Linked DNA regions of Canis lupus familiaris. The protein of the gene in region 1 interacts with the protein of each later gene in a pairwise test. Links are inferred from orthologs where the notes say so. Each region holds a gene or a part of one and is shown on either strand. Other genes may lie near its edges.

What was found.
Region 2: the proteins of CEP126 (region 1) and YAE1 interact in a two-hybrid assay, tested with the Homo sapiens proteins (2 studies listed by BioGRID and IntAct). The link is inferred for Canis lupus familiaris from reciprocal best matches to the Homo sapiens genes CEP126 and YAE1.
Region 3: the proteins of CEP126 (region 1) and HMOX2 interact in a two-hybrid assay, tested with the Homo sapiens proteins (2 studies listed by BioGRID and IntAct). The link is inferred for Canis lupus familiaris from reciprocal best matches to the Homo sapiens genes CEP126 and HMOX2.

What each region holds. Positions count from the first base shown.
Region 1 is NC_049226.1:29,797,503-29,804,091, forward strand, and holds the start of CEP126 (centrosomal protein of 126 kDa), read right to left. Parts: upstream 4,114-6,589; 5' UTR 4,074-4,113; coding exon 3,919-4,073; exon of another isoform or gene 3,545-3,918; intron 1,040-3,544; coding exon 920-1,039; exon of another isoform or gene 916-919; intron 1-915. UniProt on the Homo sapiens protein: Participates in cytokinesis. Necessary for microtubules and mitotic spindle organization. Involved in primary cilium formation.
Region 2 is NC_049239.1:10,248,110-10,254,698, forward strand, and holds the start of YAE1 (protein YAE1 homolog), read right to left. Parts: upstream 3,280-6,589; 5' UTR 3,223-3,279; coding exon 3,094-3,222; exon of another isoform or gene 2,926-3,093; intron 1,276-2,925; coding exon 1,154-1,275; intron 1-1,153. UniProt on the Homo sapiens protein: The complex LTO1:YAE1 functions as a target specific adapter that probably recruits apo-ABCE1 to the cytosolic iron-sulfur protein assembly (CIA) complex machinery. May be required for biogenesis of the large ribosomal subunit and initiation of translation.
Region 3 is NC_049227.1:37,202,130-37,208,718, forward strand, and holds the start of HMOX2 (heme oxygenase 2), read right to left. Parts: upstream 3,504-6,589; 5' UTR 3,384-3,503; intron 1-3,383.

The DNA of each region.
Region 1 (6,589 bases):
CTCCAGAACCCATGACTGTTTCAACATACGATTATGCATCTTTATTGAACACCTGCTGTGTGCTTTTATAGGCCCCCAGGTAGGAGAAAAACAGTAAGACACCAATACAAAACAAGAAACAAGCTTCATTAAGTAACTTCATTACACCAGACAATGAAAGAGTTAATCTAAGGAGAAATATGATGTCAGAAAAAAGTTACAGGTAAACAATTTTGTATTTTCCAAATGGGATTTGCAACACGCGTCCAATGATGTAGTTCATACACTCTAGGGATTTGCTGCTATTGACAAAATACAGACAAGGTAGCCAACACATTAACAATCCGTCTAAAAAACAAAATCTAATCATTCAAAGAAACCTTGAAAAATGGTATGCAGTAACTGGATGGTTTATATTTTTACTTTATTAGGCTTCCAGTTTAGATAGCTGTTTTTTTTTTAATGGAAGTCATTTATAATATTCTTTGCATCATATTTCTACCATTATTTAAATTTCCCCCCATTTTTGATTGGATAAATGATATATAGAAAAATTATATAGAAGTGAACAGTAAATTAAAATGAAATTACATTCCATTAGAGACTAAGTACTAATTTGTAATCTTTTGATTTAGTGTGAAAGGATATAGACAACAAAGAATGGAGCACATTTTGCAGCCATCCTATGACACTACGATAAGAAGTCCTATGATAAGAAAGGACTGCTAAGGTCCCGCTCAGGAATGAGTACACGACCACCTTTGTGCTTTAGGCAGAAAAACAATAAGAAAATTTATGAAGGCATACAAATGTTGACCAGTGTTTTACAGATAAAGCAAATGCCATGACTTAGGTTCATAAAATGCGAAAGTAGAGAAACTATAATTAATTTATAATGACTTTGAATTTCTACACTTCTGAAGAAAATACGATTACTTACTTTTTTCTCCGGTTTGATTCCACAAAATATTTACGTGCTCGATTTCGACATATTTTTTGTTGCTGCAGTAAAATTTGACGCTCTTCTTCTAAATTTTTCTCCAGATGTATTTTCGTATCTCTAATGATAGCACAAAGTTAAGGACATGGTTTATAGCTCCAGGGGATGAGTGTCAGTGCTGATAAATATAATTACAGCCTCATACTAAGAATACAGTCATTTTTAGGAAACAATACGTGTACACATTAGTGTTAGTTAGTAGTAGTATTCTGACTTGGGATGCCTGGTGACTCAGCGATTGAGCATCTGCCTTTGGCTCAGTGTGTGATCCCGGAGTCCAGGGATCGAGTCCACATCGGGCTCCGTGCATGGAGCCTGCTTCTCCCTCTGCCTGTGTCTCTGCCTCTCTTGTTCTGTTGTCTCATGAATAAATAAAATCTTCAAAAAAAATTCTGACTTGGTATTAGAACTGAACACATATCTCACTTTCCCTGGGATAAAAATTGTACTTTCAGCATCATGAGCTCAGATAAGGAGACTGCATATTTTTTCAACACTATGAACCTCTACAAATCTGCTAAATGCAAATCTGATTGCATTTCTCTTTCCTTTTTCTCTTAAAGTTCCCTGTCACATCCATGGTAAATTCTAAATCTCCTGACCTAGTATATAAAGCACTATAAATTGGTCTGTTTTTTCAACTTCAATTCTCAACCCTGCCCTGCACAAATCCTATGCCCAGATGCACGAAGATACTTACATACTGATAACAGAACAAGCCATGACATATCAGAGCATCATCTCTAAGCACATGCTTGGTAACTTCCCCTGTGGTTCAGGCCCACTTCAAGCAGTTCCCCTGTTTTCTAGAGAAAACCCTCATTGGATGACCTGACACCTTCATGAGTACATCCTATGAGTACATGTCTTCTCCACCTTTCTGTAACGCCAATGACTGGCATGCTGCTTAATAAAATCTAGCTGAACAATTTCCTTGGAGAAAATTCTCAGTACATATACAGGACAAAAGATATAAACAATTTCTCCTTAAAGTTTTAATGAGTCATCTTTGAAATACTTTTCCTTTAAAATGTCTTTCCTTCCAAAAGGTAAATTTGCTATACCTTCAAATACATGAAAAATATGAAATTCTATTTTATGTTGTTATTCTTTTACAATTTCACATTTATATTTTATTAGCTTAATTTTGGAATGTAGTACCAAGTGTGACTCAAGGTAGAGATGGTAAATTTAGACTCTTTTTAGAGGTCTGAATATGGACACAGGAGATACTAGAATCAAGTTGAGGGTTCTCATGTTGATCATTGACTAACAATCATCCTTTGATAGGGTTTGACTGTTAGTCTAGTTTATTTTAAGGAGAGCCAAGACCGGAGTATGTTTATAGGCTGGAGGAAAAGAATGCCATTACAAGTTGAAAGTAGATTTTAAGATGGGGTAATTTATAATCCAGAGGCACACAGGAGAAAACAAGCTATGTTAGTAAGGCACAGGTGAATAGATGGATGTTCTACCATAAAAGTGATATCCCATCAATGAACCTGGAAAAAAGGATGGTGTTGGGGGCAGGGGGTGTTGCTTGTGAAGAGGGGCTGAGAGCCTTCGTGGTGTCTACTGTCTCATGAAGTAGTAAGACAGTCTACTGAGAGCAGGTGGAATTGGTAAAGACCTCACACAGACATGAAGAGGAACAGACATCCCTGTTCTTGTTCAGGCGAAGCTGGAAACTGTTCAATCTGTGTGGTGCCAGTCTGTATTGTCTTGTGATTTTTCTCTGACAGCATTTTTCTTACTTAAGTGAAGGACAAGAGAAGTAGAACTCTAGTAGCTATTGGATGAAGCAGAGGAATAGGGGTGCAAAGGACCAAGGATGCTGGTGAGAGAACATGAGCAGGTAATTGAGAATAGGATATAAACCAGGCAGGGAAGAGAGGGCAAGATAAGTGCTAAAATAAAATCAAAGGGGAAAAGAGATATATATGAGAAAAAAGGAGGCACAGTGTGAAGGGAACATGAGAGACATTTCACCTTTTTTTAAAAAAGAAAAATTTAGGGATGCCTGGGTGGCTCAGCAGTTGAGCATCTGCCTTTGGCTCAGGTTGTGATCCCGGGATCCAGTCCCATATGGGGCTCCCCGCAGTGAGCCTACTTCTCCCTCTGCCTATGTCTCTGCCTCTCTGTGTCTTTCATGAATAAATAAAATCTTTACAAAAGAAAAAAGTATGTTTGGTTTTGTTCCTTTGAGGTACTATTAATTCTATTTACAAATATTTTCTCTGATGTTTACTCAGTGTTCCAACTACATCAATTTACAAAATTAAGTCTAGGACTATTTCATGAATGAAAAGGATAGAAAGATACACTCTGTCCATGAGCCATTGACCTTGCTTCATTACTTTCTGATTCAGACGAAATCAGGGTCAGTGCTATAGTCCTATAGGACTTCAGTGTGCATGAAAATACAACGTCAAGGGAACAAAATCAAATCCGTACACACCGGTGCTGTTTATTTCAGAACACATCTCTGAGAGCATGAGTTTTGGGGACCAGCACGGGCAAAGCTAGACCAGGCTAGCTGCAGGAGGCTCGGAGCACAGCTGCCTTCCTCCCTGTCGCCAGGTCTGCACCCCAGAACCCCGAGCAGGGCGCGCGCGCACGTCACAGCCTTTGCCTACTTGCTGATCCACCGCAGCATCTCAGGACAGGTGTCCAAGCGCGCTGGTGGGGATGTGCGGCAGCACTCTGAGGGTCCGTGAGCTCGGAGTCCAAGCCCGTCACCACCAGTCCCGTCGTCCGCCAGCACCGACGCCACCCGTCACCGCCCCATCGTCCTCAGAAAGGGTACGAGCGCCTTCCATTCCGAAAACAGAACTCCGCCCTGAATTCTGAGGAAGGCTGTCCCCCTGACCACCGGACACACCCCGGGTGACCCGCAGACCAGAGAATGAACCGGGGGTGTGCTAGCTTAACCTGCTAACCCGATTCTCGAAGGTCGCAAAGAGGTGTCACTTGTGGGGCTCTTCCCTCTGCGCAGCACCATTAACCAGGCAGTGCACAGAACATGGCCACGCTGTCTGAGCAACAGAGCAGCCCCCGCACCGCACGAGGTCGGTAGTTCCACGTTCCAGAGCATCTGGAACAGCGAGGCCCGGGGCGGGGGAAGCAGGGAAAAGGGTGGGGAGCCCGGGGGAGGACCCCGGGGGAGGCCGGGGGGGGCACCGACGGGGGAAACGGGCGCACAAGGACCCGAACGGTGTCGGGGGGTGGGGGCGAAAGGCGGGGAGGGGTGCCCCGGGGGAGAGTCGGGCGCTCACGGACACCCACCCGGCGCGCGGGGGTGGTGTGGGCACAGGCGGGGGAGCCCACCGCCCGGCCAGCCCGCCGTCCGCCGGCGCCCACACCGCCTACCCGGCCCGCATCCCCGGAAGGATACAGGTCGGCGGCAGGCCGGCGGCGCCCGCGGCCCAAGCGGGGGATGAGGAGCGCTCCGTCGCCGGCGTCCGACGTCTCGGGGCCCCGTCCCCGTTCCACGGCCGAGCTCCGGGCGCCCGGCCTCCAAGCCAGCATCTTTCAGCTCCGCGCCGCCTCTCGGCCCGCCGCTGGCGCCTCCGTCATGGCAGCCTCGGCCTCGTCCTCGGGCCTCCGTCCACTCCGTCTCTCGGGCTTCGTGTCACGGGCGCGGAAGGCTTGGCCGCGGCAGCCCCGGTTCCCGAGCGGCAGCGACGCTGGCTGTGACGGCTGCGGCGTCGACCTTGCCCTGCAGTGGCGGAGAGGGCAGCCGCGGTCCCGCAGACACCGCCGCCATCTTGGCAACCAACGGACGCCGCGTCCTTGGCGACAGAAACCAGGGCGCCGGGTGGGGCGGGGCTACGCGCCGGACAGCCAATGGCTAGCGTGGGCGGGACCCGGGCTCCCGCGACCGAGTCTGCGCAGGCGCGGGCTTGTCCCTCTGTCAGCGCGGGGCTGAGTCTTCTTTACGCTGAGGCTGTAGTGGTGGGGGTGCGGAGCGGTGGGGGGATGGGTGGGATGGAGTGGGGGCACGGCCGCGGGGGTCGTCTGGATGGTCGATGGAGCACTGGAGCTCGTGGGTCTGGAGCTGGAAGTCCATCTAGCTTCCTGGGGCGGGTCTGGGTCCCCTGCATCTTCCCCGCGCGGGATGCTCTGCAGGGTCCTCCCTGCCCTGTGGCTGCCGGGTCTGCACGCATACCGTCTCGCGTCCCTTTCGCGTCCCTTTCGCGTCCCTTCTGGACGAAGTCCACATCTAAGGTGGAGACCTCCCGGAAGGTGTGCTGGGCGGAGTGGATCTCTGGGCCGCAGAGATTTTGGTTTTGCAAACTGAAAATATAGAAAAGAGGCTGAAATGCAATGAAACGCCGGGACACCTGCACGCCGATGTTTCTAGCAGCAATGTCCACAATAGCCAAACTGTGGAAGGAGCCTCGGTGTCCATCAAAAGATGAATGGATAAAGAAGATGTGGTCTATGTATACAATGGAATTTTCCTCAGCCATTAGAAACGACAAATACCCACCATTTGCTTCGACGTGGATGGAACTAGAGGGTATTATGCTGAGTGAAATAAGTCAATCGGAGAAGGACAAACATTTTATGGTCTCATTCATTTGGGGAATATAAATAATAGTGAAAGGAATAGAGGGGAAGGGAGAAGAAATGGGTGGGAAATATCAGAAAGGGAGACAGAACATAAAGACTCCTAACTCTGGGAAACGAACTAGGGGTGGTGGAAGGGGAGGTGGGTAGGGGGTGGGAGTGACTGGGTGATGGGCACTGAGGGGGGCACTTGACGGGATGAGCACTGGGTGTTATTCTGTATGTTGGCAAATTGAACACCAATAAAAAATAAATTTATTATTTAAGAAAAAGAAAAAAAAAACAAGAAAAGAGGCTGAAACTGTTTGTTGGAACTCAGTATAAAAGAACATATAAATTCCGACTGTGTTAGCCAGGGTTTGTTTGTTATTTGTTTTTTAATGGAAGAACTCTCAGATTGGAAGCAAAATGTACAAACCAAATAAAAATCATCCACCCACCATTGAAATGGCTCTGCCTTTGTGAATCAGGTATGTTCATTTTTAAACTTCAAATAAACTTTTCCAGTTGAAACTACTTAAAACGGTTTTTGCAAAGTTGTATGCAGTTACTCAAATTGAAATGTAATCTGGTGACTGAGATTTTAAAATGCCACAACAAATCCAGCTTTTATTTATTTATTTATGATAGTCACAGAGAGAGAGAGAGGGGCAGAGACACAGGCAGAGCACCGGGAGCCCAACGTGGGATTCGATCCCGGGTCTCCAGGATCGCACCCTGGGCCAAAGGCAGGCGCCATACCGCTGCGCCACCCAGGGATCCCTCCAGTTTTGATTTAACACACAAAACACGTGAGCTTCCTTCAGGACAAAGCCAAGACAATAGAATATATAACTTTTAGCAGGGAAAGGCCAAAGGTGTATCCATAGACCATTGGCTATCTTGGCAAGTTTTAAACTGGCCTAGCCACGACATTGACCTTGATTCTATTCCCATTGCTATCATCACAGTTCTGTTTCCCTGGGGCTATTCAGAAGATTTTTTTTTTTTTTTTAATTTGAGAGAGTAAGAGACAGAAAGCACAAATGAGGGGAGTAG
Region 2 (6,589 bases), on another chromosome or scaffold:
TTGTTATAATCACTGTTTGTTGAGCTAACTAATACATTTCTTGAAGAAGGTAAGAATGCTTCTAATCCTAATATTTTTTTTCTAGTACAGAAAAGACTTCTGTTTTCTGCCATTTCAGATTGTTCAGATAATCACGACATAAAATGATTGTTGTGAAAAGTAATAGCGTTTGTTTGTTTTTTTTTAAAGACAGGGAGAGAGAGGTGGAGGGAAGGGCAGAGAACAAGGGAGAGAGAGAACCTTAAGCAGGCTGTGTGCCCAGTGCTGACCCTGAGATCATGACCTGAGCAGAAATCAAGAGCTGGATGCTTAACTGAGCGAGCCACCCAGGTGCCCTGAAAAGTAATCATGTTTTAAAAATGTAATCAGTTGACATAAAAGATTTAGCAATAAACTTTCTGTACTTATAAAAGATTTATGTAAAATGAATACTTGATCATTTTCCTACTGTAGACTATAAATTCTGATTTCTGACAGTTGAATTTTCTAAAACCTCAATGAACTTTTTTGTTTTGATAACTTTAAAAATTTTTTAAAAACTAATTTAAAAATTAGTGATTCTTCGAACCATTTTATGTTTTTATTTTTTTTCCTAATTTAAAAGGTACAAAGTCTCCAAGATGACAAGCATGTCATTATCCTAGCTCCTTCTGCCATTTGACCTCTTGGCTCTGATATGTGCCATTATTAGTATGGAATCTTGACAGGTATTCAGTGTTCAGCACTAAAGTAAATGGAATCATTTTTCTATGACCAGATATAATTTTCCTCATGCACTTCTAATCTAGAAGTCTGTTTTATTATGCTCTACCACATGTCCAAGATTAAAAGCTTTATTTAAAACCTGAAGATCTTTTGAATTACTTTTGAGATACAAATCGGTGGTAGTTCAGGCAGCACAAAATATACACGTTCCTATCATTTCTTTGCAGTAAGAGACAACACCTGACATATATTAAAGTAGATGAACTGACGGTTCAAGTAGATGACTTTCTGAAGGCAGTATTATTTTATGGTCACAGTACTCTTTTGTGGATTTAACACTAGGAAAAGCACTTCAGTTTAAATACTTTATTTTTACATACTACTTTTATAAAAGGCCTCCAGGAGTACTGAGGTTAAAATGACTCAGCATATAAGTTTAAAAAATTACCTCAGTGTTCCTCTGAGTTGTCCGTAGTTTATAATGATTTCTGCACCTTCCTTATAACCTTGATTGAAGCCTTGTTGAAGAGTAACAGCTTTGCCAGCATCTATTCCATCTCTATAGCCTTCCTAAAAATAAGTAATGAAGAAAACTGCAGCTGTAATTAACACCAAGTAAACCACTGTAGGTTTTTCTGGAAAGTCATAAAACCGATTTAGAATGTTGATGAAATAGGCCTTTACTGCTGTTTACTATTTAACATAATGGTTCTACAACCTATGGCACAGCCACACAACCCGAGCAGATTATGCTTCCCAGCAAGGTTTATTATTCGCATATCCCGCTTTAGGAGTCGACTTATTTGGCACATTTAAAAATACAGATTTTAAAAAAAATATATTCTATTTATTCACGAGAGACAGAGGAGAGAGACAGAGAGAGAGGCACAGACACAGGCAGAGGGAGAAGCAGGCTCCATGCAGGGAGCCCGATGTGGGACTTGATCCCGGGACTCAAGTATCAGGCCCTGGGTCAAAGGCAGATGCTAAACCACTGGGCCACCCAGGCTGCCCCAAAATATAGATTCTTATACAGATTTTAAAAACCCTGTGTTAACAATGGCTTCACAGGAAGGAAAACAGAGAGTTAATGTCTGGCCCCTTGGCAACACTGACTGATGAGCGTTGGGTGAGAAGGTAGGGCAGAAAAGAGGTTATCAGAGGTCTTCAATAATCAGCTCAAGGAGGGAAAGAGGAAACTGGGTGAGTAAAAAAAGATGCAAAGTACGGTTTTAGAAATCTTGCCTGGTATCTAAATTTAAATAAACGGCAAATTCCCTGTGGGCGGAGATACTGTCCTGCGTCTCCATCTCCTCTGGTGCCACTGCACTCCAAGGCCGGTTGCGACTCACTGGTCTGGCCCCCACCTTACATCAAGCGTTTCTGAAACTGGTAACGTGGTGGTTGGGCTAAGCAAACATTTCACTGAAACAAACAAGGGCCAATCGGGCAGTATTTTGCTTGGGAAAGACCTTGGGTGGAAGTGGACCTGGCCGTGTGAACTCAGCTCCCACTGCTCCACCTGGAGACTGAGGGCGTGGCATTAAGCTTAGTTTCAATGAACAAAGCAGAGAAAGATAATGCACACCCAGCAAATAAAAAAGCAGCCAACTTTGGTATTCCTTCACCTAGCCCCACGGTACTCCACAGCAGCTTTCCTTTATTCCTATTTGACATTTCTTTTTATCATTATTACTATTTAAGATCTTAATTTTTTTTTAAAGATTTTATTTATTTATTCATGATAGAGAGAGAGGGGCAGAGACACAGGCAGAGGGAGAAGCAGGCTCCATGCAGGGGGACTCGATCCGGGGACCCCGGGGTCACGCCCTGGGCTGAGGGCGGATGCTCCACCGCTAAGCCCCCCGGGCATCCCTGCTTCTGGACATTCGTAGGTTCACCTTTCCCGTGTGTCTCCAGTAATAACCACTCCCGGGCAGCCCGGGGGGCTCAGCGGTTTAGCGCCACCTTCAGTCCAGGGCGTGACCCCGGGGTCCCGGGATCGAGTCCCGCATCGGGCTCCCTGCGTGGAGCCTGCTTCTCCCTCTGCTTGTATCTCTGCTTCTCTCTCTCTGTGTCTCTATAAAAAAAAAAAAAAAAAAAAAAAAAAAAAAAAGTAACCACTTCCGACGTTGGGCTCGTGACCCGTTCGAGCAGCCCGTCCACGCCCTCCGCGAACCTCCCGGCACGGCGACCCCCGCCAGGTCTACACCTAGCTCGCGTCTGCTCCCAGCGTCCAGCGCGCCCCGAGGTCTCGCGCGCTTTCGGGTAACCCCTCGGTAACCCCCTGGAAAGCCCTCGCGGGCCCCGCGGCCTCCACCCTCGCGCCCGCGCTCCGCTCTCTCCACAAGCCGCCGTGTGTCCCCCGCGCCCGCCACGCAGCCTTACTTTGACTCGTCTCTGCATGTGGCTCCGCCATTCCCGCTGCACCAGGAGAGACTCGTCCGCCTCCTCGTCAAACACGTCCCCTTCCTCTCCGGGACCCCGGACCAGCGGGGCCCTCTGAACCCACGACATCACCGAGGCAACCGCAGGGCGGCCGGGCGCCGGAAGCGCCCGCAACGTCTTCCGGTCCGAGGGGCGGGGCGAAGGCTGCGCGTCGGGGCGGGGGGCTGCCGCGCATGCGTGCGTGACGTCGGGTCGGGCCGCGGGGCGGGAGTCGCTGCTGCGGGACCCGGACCTCCTCGGAGGGCAGCCGGGACGTGCGGGGACACGCTTTGCCTTCCGGCCGGGGTGGAGCCGTTGGAGGTGGTTCAGTGGATGCGCGACGACGGGCCGAGGTCTCGGTGTCTGGGAAGCTCCCCGCAGCGCATCTTAGGGGTTTGACGTCCACGGGCCTTAGCCGTCAGCGGCACAGGACTGTAGGGCCCGAAAGGTAGCTCCTGCGGCCAGTCCGAGCTCCATCCATGCGGGGCGCCCCTGGAGTGCGCTTCTCCCGGGGTCTCGGGGCCCGCCGCTGGCCCGCCTGGCTGCGGAGGCCGGCCCTGGTGCACCTGCAGGGGCTCGGCGCCGCCTGGTCCCCACCCGGGGCGGGGGCGCTGGGACGCGTGCGGGTGACGGAACCCACACCGGGGCTCGGGCCGTTCAGCTTTTTTTTTTTTTTTTTTTTTAATATTTTGTTTATTTATTCATTAGACACACACAGAGAGTGAGAGGCAGAGACACAGGTAGAGGGAGAAGCAGGCTCCATGCAGGGAGCCCGACACGGGACTCGATCTCGAGACCGGGGTCACGACCTGGGGCCAAGGCAGGTGCTCCACCGCTGAGCCCCCCGGGCTGCCTGCCCGCCGTTTAGCTTTTTGCGTGGTGATGGGGTGGTGATGATTTATTTATTTGATGCATTTTGTGGCGCCAGGCACCGTTGCAGCTTTCGGGGTACGTCAGGGAAGGACAGACCTGACTTAGCAGCTCTCCTCCGGTTTACGTTCCGGTGGAAGGGGCAGGAGGAACCAGAAGCACGGTATAGGTGAATTACGTAGTTTGTTACCAGATCATAAGGGATACATGCTGTGAGACAGAGAAATAAGTGAGCTGGGCAGCCCGGGGAGCTCAGCGGTGGAGCACCTGCCTTCCGCCCAGGGCGTGACCCTGGGGTCCTGGGATCGAGCCCGCATCGGGCTCCCTGCAAGGAGCCTGCTTCTCCCTCCTCCTGTCTCTGCCTCTCTCTCTCTGTCTCTCATGAATAAATAAAAAAAATCTTAAAAAAAAAAAAGTGAGCAAAGTAAGGGGAACCATGAGCCTGTGTGTCAGGGGGAGTGGGTGGTTTAGGTGATCATTTTAAATGCTCAGAATTTTGCATTTACATGCAAAATTTTAATTTTATGTATGTTGCATATATATGCATACTATATATAGTAGTTACTATATATTATACATGGAATATATATTGTGTATAATATTGAATACATTATACAGAATACAATATATATTATGTATATAATGCATATATATTTTTTACTTGGTAGGTCCATGGAATTATGTATAAGAATACTCCATAGTTGGCCACATAAAATACCTTAACTTAAAAACCCGGACGTTTTATAAGTCATATTCTCTGATCATGATCCAACAATAAATAAATTCCAATAATTTATAATAGCCAGGTGTGAGAATCACCTTTTTTTTTTTTTTTTTTTCAAGATTTTTTTTATTTGAGACACGGAGAGAGCACCAGCAGGGTGAGGGGCAGAGGAGGAGCAGACTCCCAGTTGGCAGGGAGCCTGAGCCTGGACTCCGGGATCATGACCTGAGCCAAAGGCAGAGGCCCAACCAACTGAGCCACCCAGGCACCCTAAAACCACCTGTGGAAATAACAATTGGATCAAAAAGGAAATAAAAATTAAAATGACATACAATAAGCAATTAAAATCTGAACACTTCCCACCAGAAAACATGGGAGCAGATGAAAGTTGTACAGAGGCAATTCTATAGGATTAAATGTATAAAAAAAAAAAAAAGACATGTTGTATATCTTAATTAGCAACAAAAATGCTACTAAGAGAAGCAATAAAAATATCAATTGAAATTAATACAGTAGAAAATCTCCAAACTTACATAAATAAATCCTAAAGCTGGTTCTTTGAAGAAACCAAGAAGATAGATAATCCTTTTTTGTTTGTTTTTAGTAAGCTTTATGCCCAATGTGGGGCTTGAACTGACTACTATGAGATCGAGTTGTGTGCTCCATCAGCTGAGCCAGCCAGGTGCCCCAAATGTGTGTGTGTGTATTATTTTTTACTTCGTGTTTTTTTAAATAAGCTCTACACCAAAATGGGGTTCAAACTCCTAACTCTGAGATTAGGAGTCACATACTCTACCAACTGAGCGAGCCCGGTGCCCTAGATTATCCTCTTTTGACCTTCATTAAAAAAAAAAAAAGTTATATAAGGTAGAAATGGGAAAGAGTAATGTTACAGAAATAAATTCAAGTACTATACTAATTAAGATTTGAGAGCCACACATTTGAAAACCTGGGAGCCTTGAATGGCTTTCTAATAAAACTGACCCAATAAACAGAAAACATGAAGAGACTGATTATCTTAGATAAATTAGAGGTTAAATATCCACTTTAAAAAATAGCAAAGACTTGACATACAGGTAAATCCATTAAATCTATTTTAATCTTTAAAGAACAATGGATGGAGCACCTGGATGGCTCAGTTGGTTAAGCCTCTGACTCAGGTCATGGTCTCAGGGTCTTAAAATCGAGCCCCAAGACGGGCTCCACACTCAGTGGGGAGTCTGCTTTAGATTTTCTCTTCTCCCTTTACCCTTCCTTACCTCTCCTGAAGGAAATAAATCTTTTAAAAAAACCAACAATGCATAACTAAATATTTTTTACTCTTAGGCAAAGAAAAAGAATCTCCCTAAATCATTTTGTGAAGCCAGCCTTAGAGTAATATGATGTAGTATAAAAAAAATCTCAAGTTCAAGTTAGCTTATGAATATGTCAATATGTCTTTAAAAGAGAATCCAGTACCTTATCAAAAGAGTAATTCAGGATGTTTTTACAAGGGAAGCAAACTGGAAAATCTATAAGCATGTTTCATTGGAATCAGCAATCTAAAGGAGAAGAGCCTTATACTGTCTTTGCTGCAAAGTCATTTGAAGAAATTTAACAAAATAAAATGAAATGGAAGGAAACTACAAATTGATAAACACTTTATGAAAAATCCAAGTACAAATAGTAGTCTAAACACTCAGATATTTCCTTTAAGGTAGAGAAAAGAAAGTCCATCTGGTGATGTCCATTATTCAACGTTCTTTTGAAGACTAGTGAATGCAGAAAGAGAGGTAATCTATAAAATGTTGGATAATAAAAGATGAAGTTTTTTCTTTGTGCTGTTTATATGATTATATGCATATGAAACTCAAAGGAATTCTG
Region 3 (6,589 bases), on another chromosome or scaffold:
CCCACTGCTTGTGCTCTCTCAAATTAATAAAAGAATCTTTTTTTTTAATGAATAAAAAATTCTTAAAAAATTAAAAATAAAAATGAAATTTCTGAGGGGCTCCGCTGTCTTCATTAGTTGGCTTTAAAATGTGTAATACAGGGGATCCCTGGGTGGCTCAGCGGTTTAGCACCTGCCTTCGGCCCAGGGCGTGATCCTGGAGACGCGGGATCGAGTCCCACGTCAGGTTCCCTACGTGGAGCCTGCTTCTCCCTCTGCCTGTCTATCTCTCTGTCTCTAATAAATAAATAAAATCTTAAAAAAAAAAAAATGTGTAATACAGGGAGGCCTGGGGGGGGGGGGGGGGTTGCTCAGCAGTTTGGCGCCACCTTCAGCCCAGGGCCTGATCTTGGAGACCCAGGATGGAGTCCCACGTCCGGCTCCCTGCATGGAGCCTGCTTCTCCCTCTGCCTGTATCTCTGCCTCTCTCCCTCTCTGTGTCTCTCATTAATAAATAAATAAAATATTTTTAAAAAATATGTAATACAATGGGAAATAACATATTATGGTAAATAAAGAGAATCAATGTAGAGAAGTAAACCGTACACTGAACATTACAGAGCACCTGAGTGGTCCCCAGAGTGAAATCTCTTCCAGTATTAAAAAAAAAAAAAAAAAAGGGGGATCCCTGGGTGGCGCAGCGGTTTGGCACCTGCCTTTGGCCCAGGGCGCGATCCTGGAGACCCGGGATCGAATCCCACATCGGGCTCCCGGTGCATGGAGCCTGCTTCTCCCTCTGCCTGTGTCTCTGCCTCTCTCTCTCTCACTGTGTGCCTATCATAAAAAAAAAAAAAAAAAAAAAAAAAAAAAAAAAGGCATTCGTATAAGCCATTACAGTAACTGTTCCAAGATTCCCCTCCCTTATAGTTTTCTCTCTGTCCCTCTCTTCCTCCCCAAAATTAATCAGTAATGGTACTGCTTCTCAGTACTGCAAAAATATCCTGAGAAATCATTCAAACAACAAAATTTAAATATAGTACGTAAGCCAAAACACTGGTGAGAGTGCGGGATTTAGAGGGGCCTTGGAAACACTACTTAGTAACCCCATCTAATTGGGAGTGTGATGTCAACACACAGTGAAATGACAACATTTCATCCTGTTTTTGCACAAACTGAATTAGATAATTTAGTTAAAAAGCACATAACTCTCACTCTGTTGAACACAAAAGATGTAATCCAGAGCTCTTAATTCTCTCACTGATTACTATAAGAAAACAAGATTGCTCTAAATATTTATTTATAACTTTTTAGTTAATTATGGCCAATAACATACCAGGAGGTAATTTACAGTTCAAATTTTTCATCTCTTTTGTCTCCACGGCGTTAAGCTGAATTCTCAACTTTACAATAAATACACAATTCCAATTTTCTTTTTCCTTTTCTTTTTTTTTTTTAAGATTTTATTTGAGAGAGGGAGCCACGGAGCATGAATAGGGGGAGGGGCCGAGAAAGAATCAGAGCCCCAACTGAGCAGGAAGCCTGAAGTGAGGCTGGATCCCCAGGATCCGGGTATCATGACCTGAAGTAAAAGCAGACACTTAATCGAATGACTCACCCAGGTACCCCACAATTCCAATTTTTCAAAAATACCTCTCTCCTGAAGAAGTGATATTATAGTTTTGGTGCAATACTGATGCAGAGCTCAACTGTCTTATCAAGAGAATCACCTATTAAAAGGAAACCAGGGCAGCCTGGGTGGCTCAGTGGTTTAGTGCCTGCCTTTGGCCCAGGGCGTGATTCTGGGGTCCTGGTATCGAGTCCCACATTGGGCTCCCTGCAGGGTGTCTGCTTCTCCCTCTGCCAGTGTCTCTACCTCTCTCTCTCTGTCTCCCATGAATGAATAAATTAATAAAATCTTAGAAACAAATTAAAAGGAAACAAACAAACAAAAAAATCAAGGTAGCTCAAAGGCCCCAGCTGTCCAATTTTGCATTTCAACACTCGATAAGGGGTAACCTAAAGGCAATGAATACTTTCTGTAACTCATTTTCACGTTTGGTATTGTCATTTCTAGAGTAGGGATCCCAGGGAAGAGAGTTTAAAGGACATAATCCATTTCCAATCTCTACGACATTGTTTGGGAAAGATCACAGATCTGCAGGCGGATGACCAGGATCAAGGCCATCTGTGGCCTTGGGGATCCCTGGGTGGCTCAGCAGTCTGGCACCTGCCTTTGGCCGAGGGCGTGATCCTGGAGTCCTGGGATCGAGTCCCACATCGGACTCCCTGCGTGGGGCCTGCTTTTCCCTCTCCCTGTGTCTCTGCCTCTCTCTCTCTCTTTCTCTGTGTCTCTCATGAATAAATAAATAAAATCTTAAAAAAAAAAAAGACCATCTGTGGCCTCTTCCCAGTTGTGGGATGCAGGTGAAGTCATTTCACCCAAGCCTCATCATTAATTCCATTTTTTTAAAAAAGATTTTATTTATTTATGCATGAGAGACACAGAGAGAGAGAGAGAGAGAGAGAGGCAGAGACACAAGCAGACACACAAGCAGGCTCCATGCAGGGAGCCTGACGTGGGACTCGATCCCGAGACCCCGGGTCACGCCCGGAGCTGAAGGCAGACACACTGAGCCCCGCCGGGTTCTGGCGGGGGCTGGCAGCGAACTGCAGAGCGCTACACGGTGTGTGTTTGTTGTGTTTGTTTTCCCAATCCCACACCGTCTCGTCGGGCTCAAGGCCATGAACACGAACTGCCAGGATCCACTTCACAGCACGACACAGGCAGGCCTTGTACAAGGCGGTCCTGGCAACCCCTGGCAATTAATACACCTACGGCAGCGGGCAGACGAAGTGACTGGTGAAGTCCCCGCCCGGACCAACCGTCCGTCCCTCCTTCCCGGCGGCGGCGGGTCACTCATGAAGTCACCACAGTGACTCAAAACGCCCTTCCTACTGAGGTGAGTCAGGAGGAAGCGCGGAGCCCGCAGCCGCCACCACGCGGGGCTCGGACCACCGGGCGCCCGGGACAGGCCGGGGTCCTCGCGGGGGTCGGAGGCCGCAGCCCCCGCCGGGCACGCCGAGTCGGCACGCGACGCCCCCGGGGTCACCCAGCCCAGCGCACTCGTGACGCCGCGAGGGGCCGGGCCCAACGGAGCCCAAGGCGGACGGGCCGCTCGGGCCTCACCCGCCCGCCCCGGCGGCCGGGAGCGAGCAGGGAGTCTCAGCGCGGCGCCCTCCCCGCTCATCCCGTTTCCGGCCGCCCCCCGTCCCGGCCCGCCGGCTCTCCCTCAGGCCGGCGCCCGGGTCGCAGCGTCCCGCCGCCGCCCGCCCGGCTCAGCTCCGGGCCGTCCGGACGCGCCGCGGAGCCCGGAGGAGCGCCTGGGAGGGCGCAGACCACTCACCGGCCTCGGGTCCGCTCGGCCGGCCGTCAGTCACCGCGTCCGCGCGTCCGTCAGCGACTCAGCGAAGCGCCGCGGCCGCCGCAGCCCTGCGGGCGGCGCGAGGGCGGCCCGACGTGCGCACGCAGAGGGGGCGGGTCCTGTGGAAGGACACGCCCCTGCGGCGGCCCCGCCGTGTCTCCCGCGGGGTCGCGGGGTCGCGGGGTCGCGGGGTGGCTAGGGGAGTCGGGGTGCCCCCGAGCCCGCGCGCTAATGAGAGAGAGTGTTAATGAGGGCGCCTCCGGGCTCCGCGCTCTCCGCGCCCCGTGTCCCCGCCTGTGCAGGCTGCACCTGCCCTCTCGGTTCCAGCCGCCTTGCCTGCCTGTCCCTTCCTTACCCGTCCGGCGGGCTGCAGAGCGAATGACCGGTACTGTCCCGTGCTGACAAAGGTGTGCGGAATGTGCGCTGTTCCTGGGATTTCCCGGAGACCTGGGGACACGTTAGCGAGATCTGTTCGAATTTAGAAGGGGCCTATCTCTTTGTTCAAACAATGTCCTTCCTCGGTAGCTCTCGGAGAGCAATGCGTGCAAGAACCCCAAGAGGCAAGAGCGAGGAAGGTCGTTGGCAACACGGGAGGGGATGCGCGCGTCATCTGGGTGAACATCTTGAAACCACCTAAACGTCCATTAAAGGGGGATATGGTGTGGGCGTTGATGGGGGTACCTCTCTGCAACGGGGTTGTGCCTGCGTTAAAAAAAGGAAGGGCAGACATGAGCTTAGGGAGGATGTTATTAAGCAGAAGGATAGGATGTAGGATGTAGAAAGCAGGATGTTGGAAAAATGCAAAAATACATTTGACAGTGTGTAAGTTTGACTTAAAAAATATTGAACTCTAGGGGTGCCTGGATGGCTCAGTCAGTTCAGCGTCTGCCTTCGGCCCAGGTCATGATCCCAGAGTCCTGGAATGGAGCCCCACATTGGGCTCCCTGCTCAGGGGGGAGTTTGCTTCTCCCTCTCCCTCTGCCCCTGCTCATGTGCACTCTCTCTCTCTCTCACTCTGAGTGAATAAATACTCACTCTGAGTAAATAAAATCTTTAAAAAAAAATTGAATTCTAATGTGTATGTGAAGTGTTTCAGGGTGAGGGGCAGGGCGGTCTGTAATTTACTTGAAACATATCAAGAGATAAGATAGTTGATGGATAATAAATGTCTGATAAATAAAGCAAAATGTTAAGAATTGGAGAAGCTAGGTGGTAAGTGTATGTGTAGGTGTTCCTGATATAGTTCTTTCAACTTTTCCGTATGTCTACAGATTTTTTAGGATAAAAATTTGGGGAAATATATTCAATATGATCTCTTTTCTTTTTTTAAAGACTTCATTTATTCATGAGAGACGGAGAGAGAGGCAGAGACACAGGCAGAGGCAGAAGCAGGCTCCATGCAGGAAGCCGGATGTGGGACTCAATCCCGGGACTCCGGGAACACGTCCAGAGCCAAAGGCAGATGCTCAACTGCTGAGCCACCCAGGTGTCCCCTTTTATTTTTTTTGAACTACAAAATGTTCTTTCCACACATTTATATTTAGGTATCTAAATGCATCCAATGTCAGGAAGGTTTATACACTAGAATGTCAAAGGGAGGTCGGGGGTCACTTGTGCTTTATCTGTACCAATTAAATTTTTTTTAGATGCATAAATGCATTAGGCATGACTTGGTTACCAAAACCAAATTTTATTTATTTTTAAAGATTTAATTTATTTATTCATGAGAGACAGAGAGGCAGAGACATAGGCAGAGGGAGAAGCAAGCTCCTTCTGGGGAGCCTGATGCGGGACTCGATCCCACGACCCTGGTATCCAGACCTGAGCCAAAGAAAGACTCTCAACCGCTGAGCCACCCAGATGCCCCCAAACCAAATTTTAAAAAGAATGGATCTTTAAAAAGTAATTATTGGAAGTACACACCATACTGCCCCTGCTCCCAAATACATACACATAAAATTGAATAAACCCAGTGGCGCTGATTGATGAGGGGGTTGCTTTGAGGTTTCAAATGAGATAATGTGGAGGGTGCCTGGCTTCATTTCCTGAGTTTGAGCCCCATGTTGGGCTTAGAGATTACTTTGAATAAATGAGATCATGTAGGTCTTAGCTTCTGCATGACACGCTGGAGGAGCTCAGAGAAGGGTTTCCCCTGTTATCATTATTAGCACATGTCACCCAGCTGGGTTAACTGGCAAGAGCTTTGCAGGAAGTCTTTGTCAGCTACAAAGTCCTGCAGGAAGTGCAGAGTCACAGCTGAGCATAGTAGTGAGTAGCCAAATCTTTCTCCTTAGGCCTCAGGGGGCTAGGATTTTGGGCTAGGTAGGGCTTCAACAGACATGATCTTTGCCCAGGCTGTCAATAATGCTGACCCACTTCCAGACAGACCCCCTGGCATTAGCACCCTTGACCAGAAGCCCACAGGCAGAGATGCCATTTTCTGCTACTCGTTGCCTGCACTGATTTCCAAGCAGTTGGTTCAGCAAGGCCAAAAGGCGGTTGGGTTCCCTTATGGCCCTGAGATGCTCTTCAATTAAACCTGGGCACTAGGGATCCCTGGGTGGCGCAGCGGTTTGGCGCCTGCCTTTGGCCCAGGGCGCGATCCTGGAGACCCGGGATCGAATCCCACGTCGGGCTCCTGGTGCATGGAGCCTGCTTCTCCCTCGGCCTATGTCTCTGCCTCTCTCTCTCTCACTGTGTGCCTATCATAAATAAACAAACAAACAAAAAAAAAACCTGGGCACCAGAGCTGCCTCCTTAGGCTTGTAATCCCAGTAACTGCACAGGGTCCCACTCTGAGAAGGCCTCCCACTTGTTTAATGCTCTGTTGTTATTTTCTTGAAATTCTTGACAATTTTTTAACAAGGAGCCCTGCATTTTCAGTTTGCACCAGGCCTTCCGAATTCTGCAGCTCGTCCTGCTACACGCCTTCTTGTTTATTTCCTTAAAGTGGAGACGTTGGAATATTGGGTTTTGTGCTTTATCCTTATGTAACTGAAGAAAAACCTCATCTTTTATCACAGTAATATGCACTTGGGGTCCATCTAGTAGGTATTTATTGAGTTCCTAGCTAGTGATGGATATGGTGCCAGAAGGAAGAGACAGAGACAAACATGACATAGGCCAGCTCTCAGGAAGCCCTTCTACTATGGTAGACAATTTTACCAGTAAAAAAAAAAAAAAAAAAG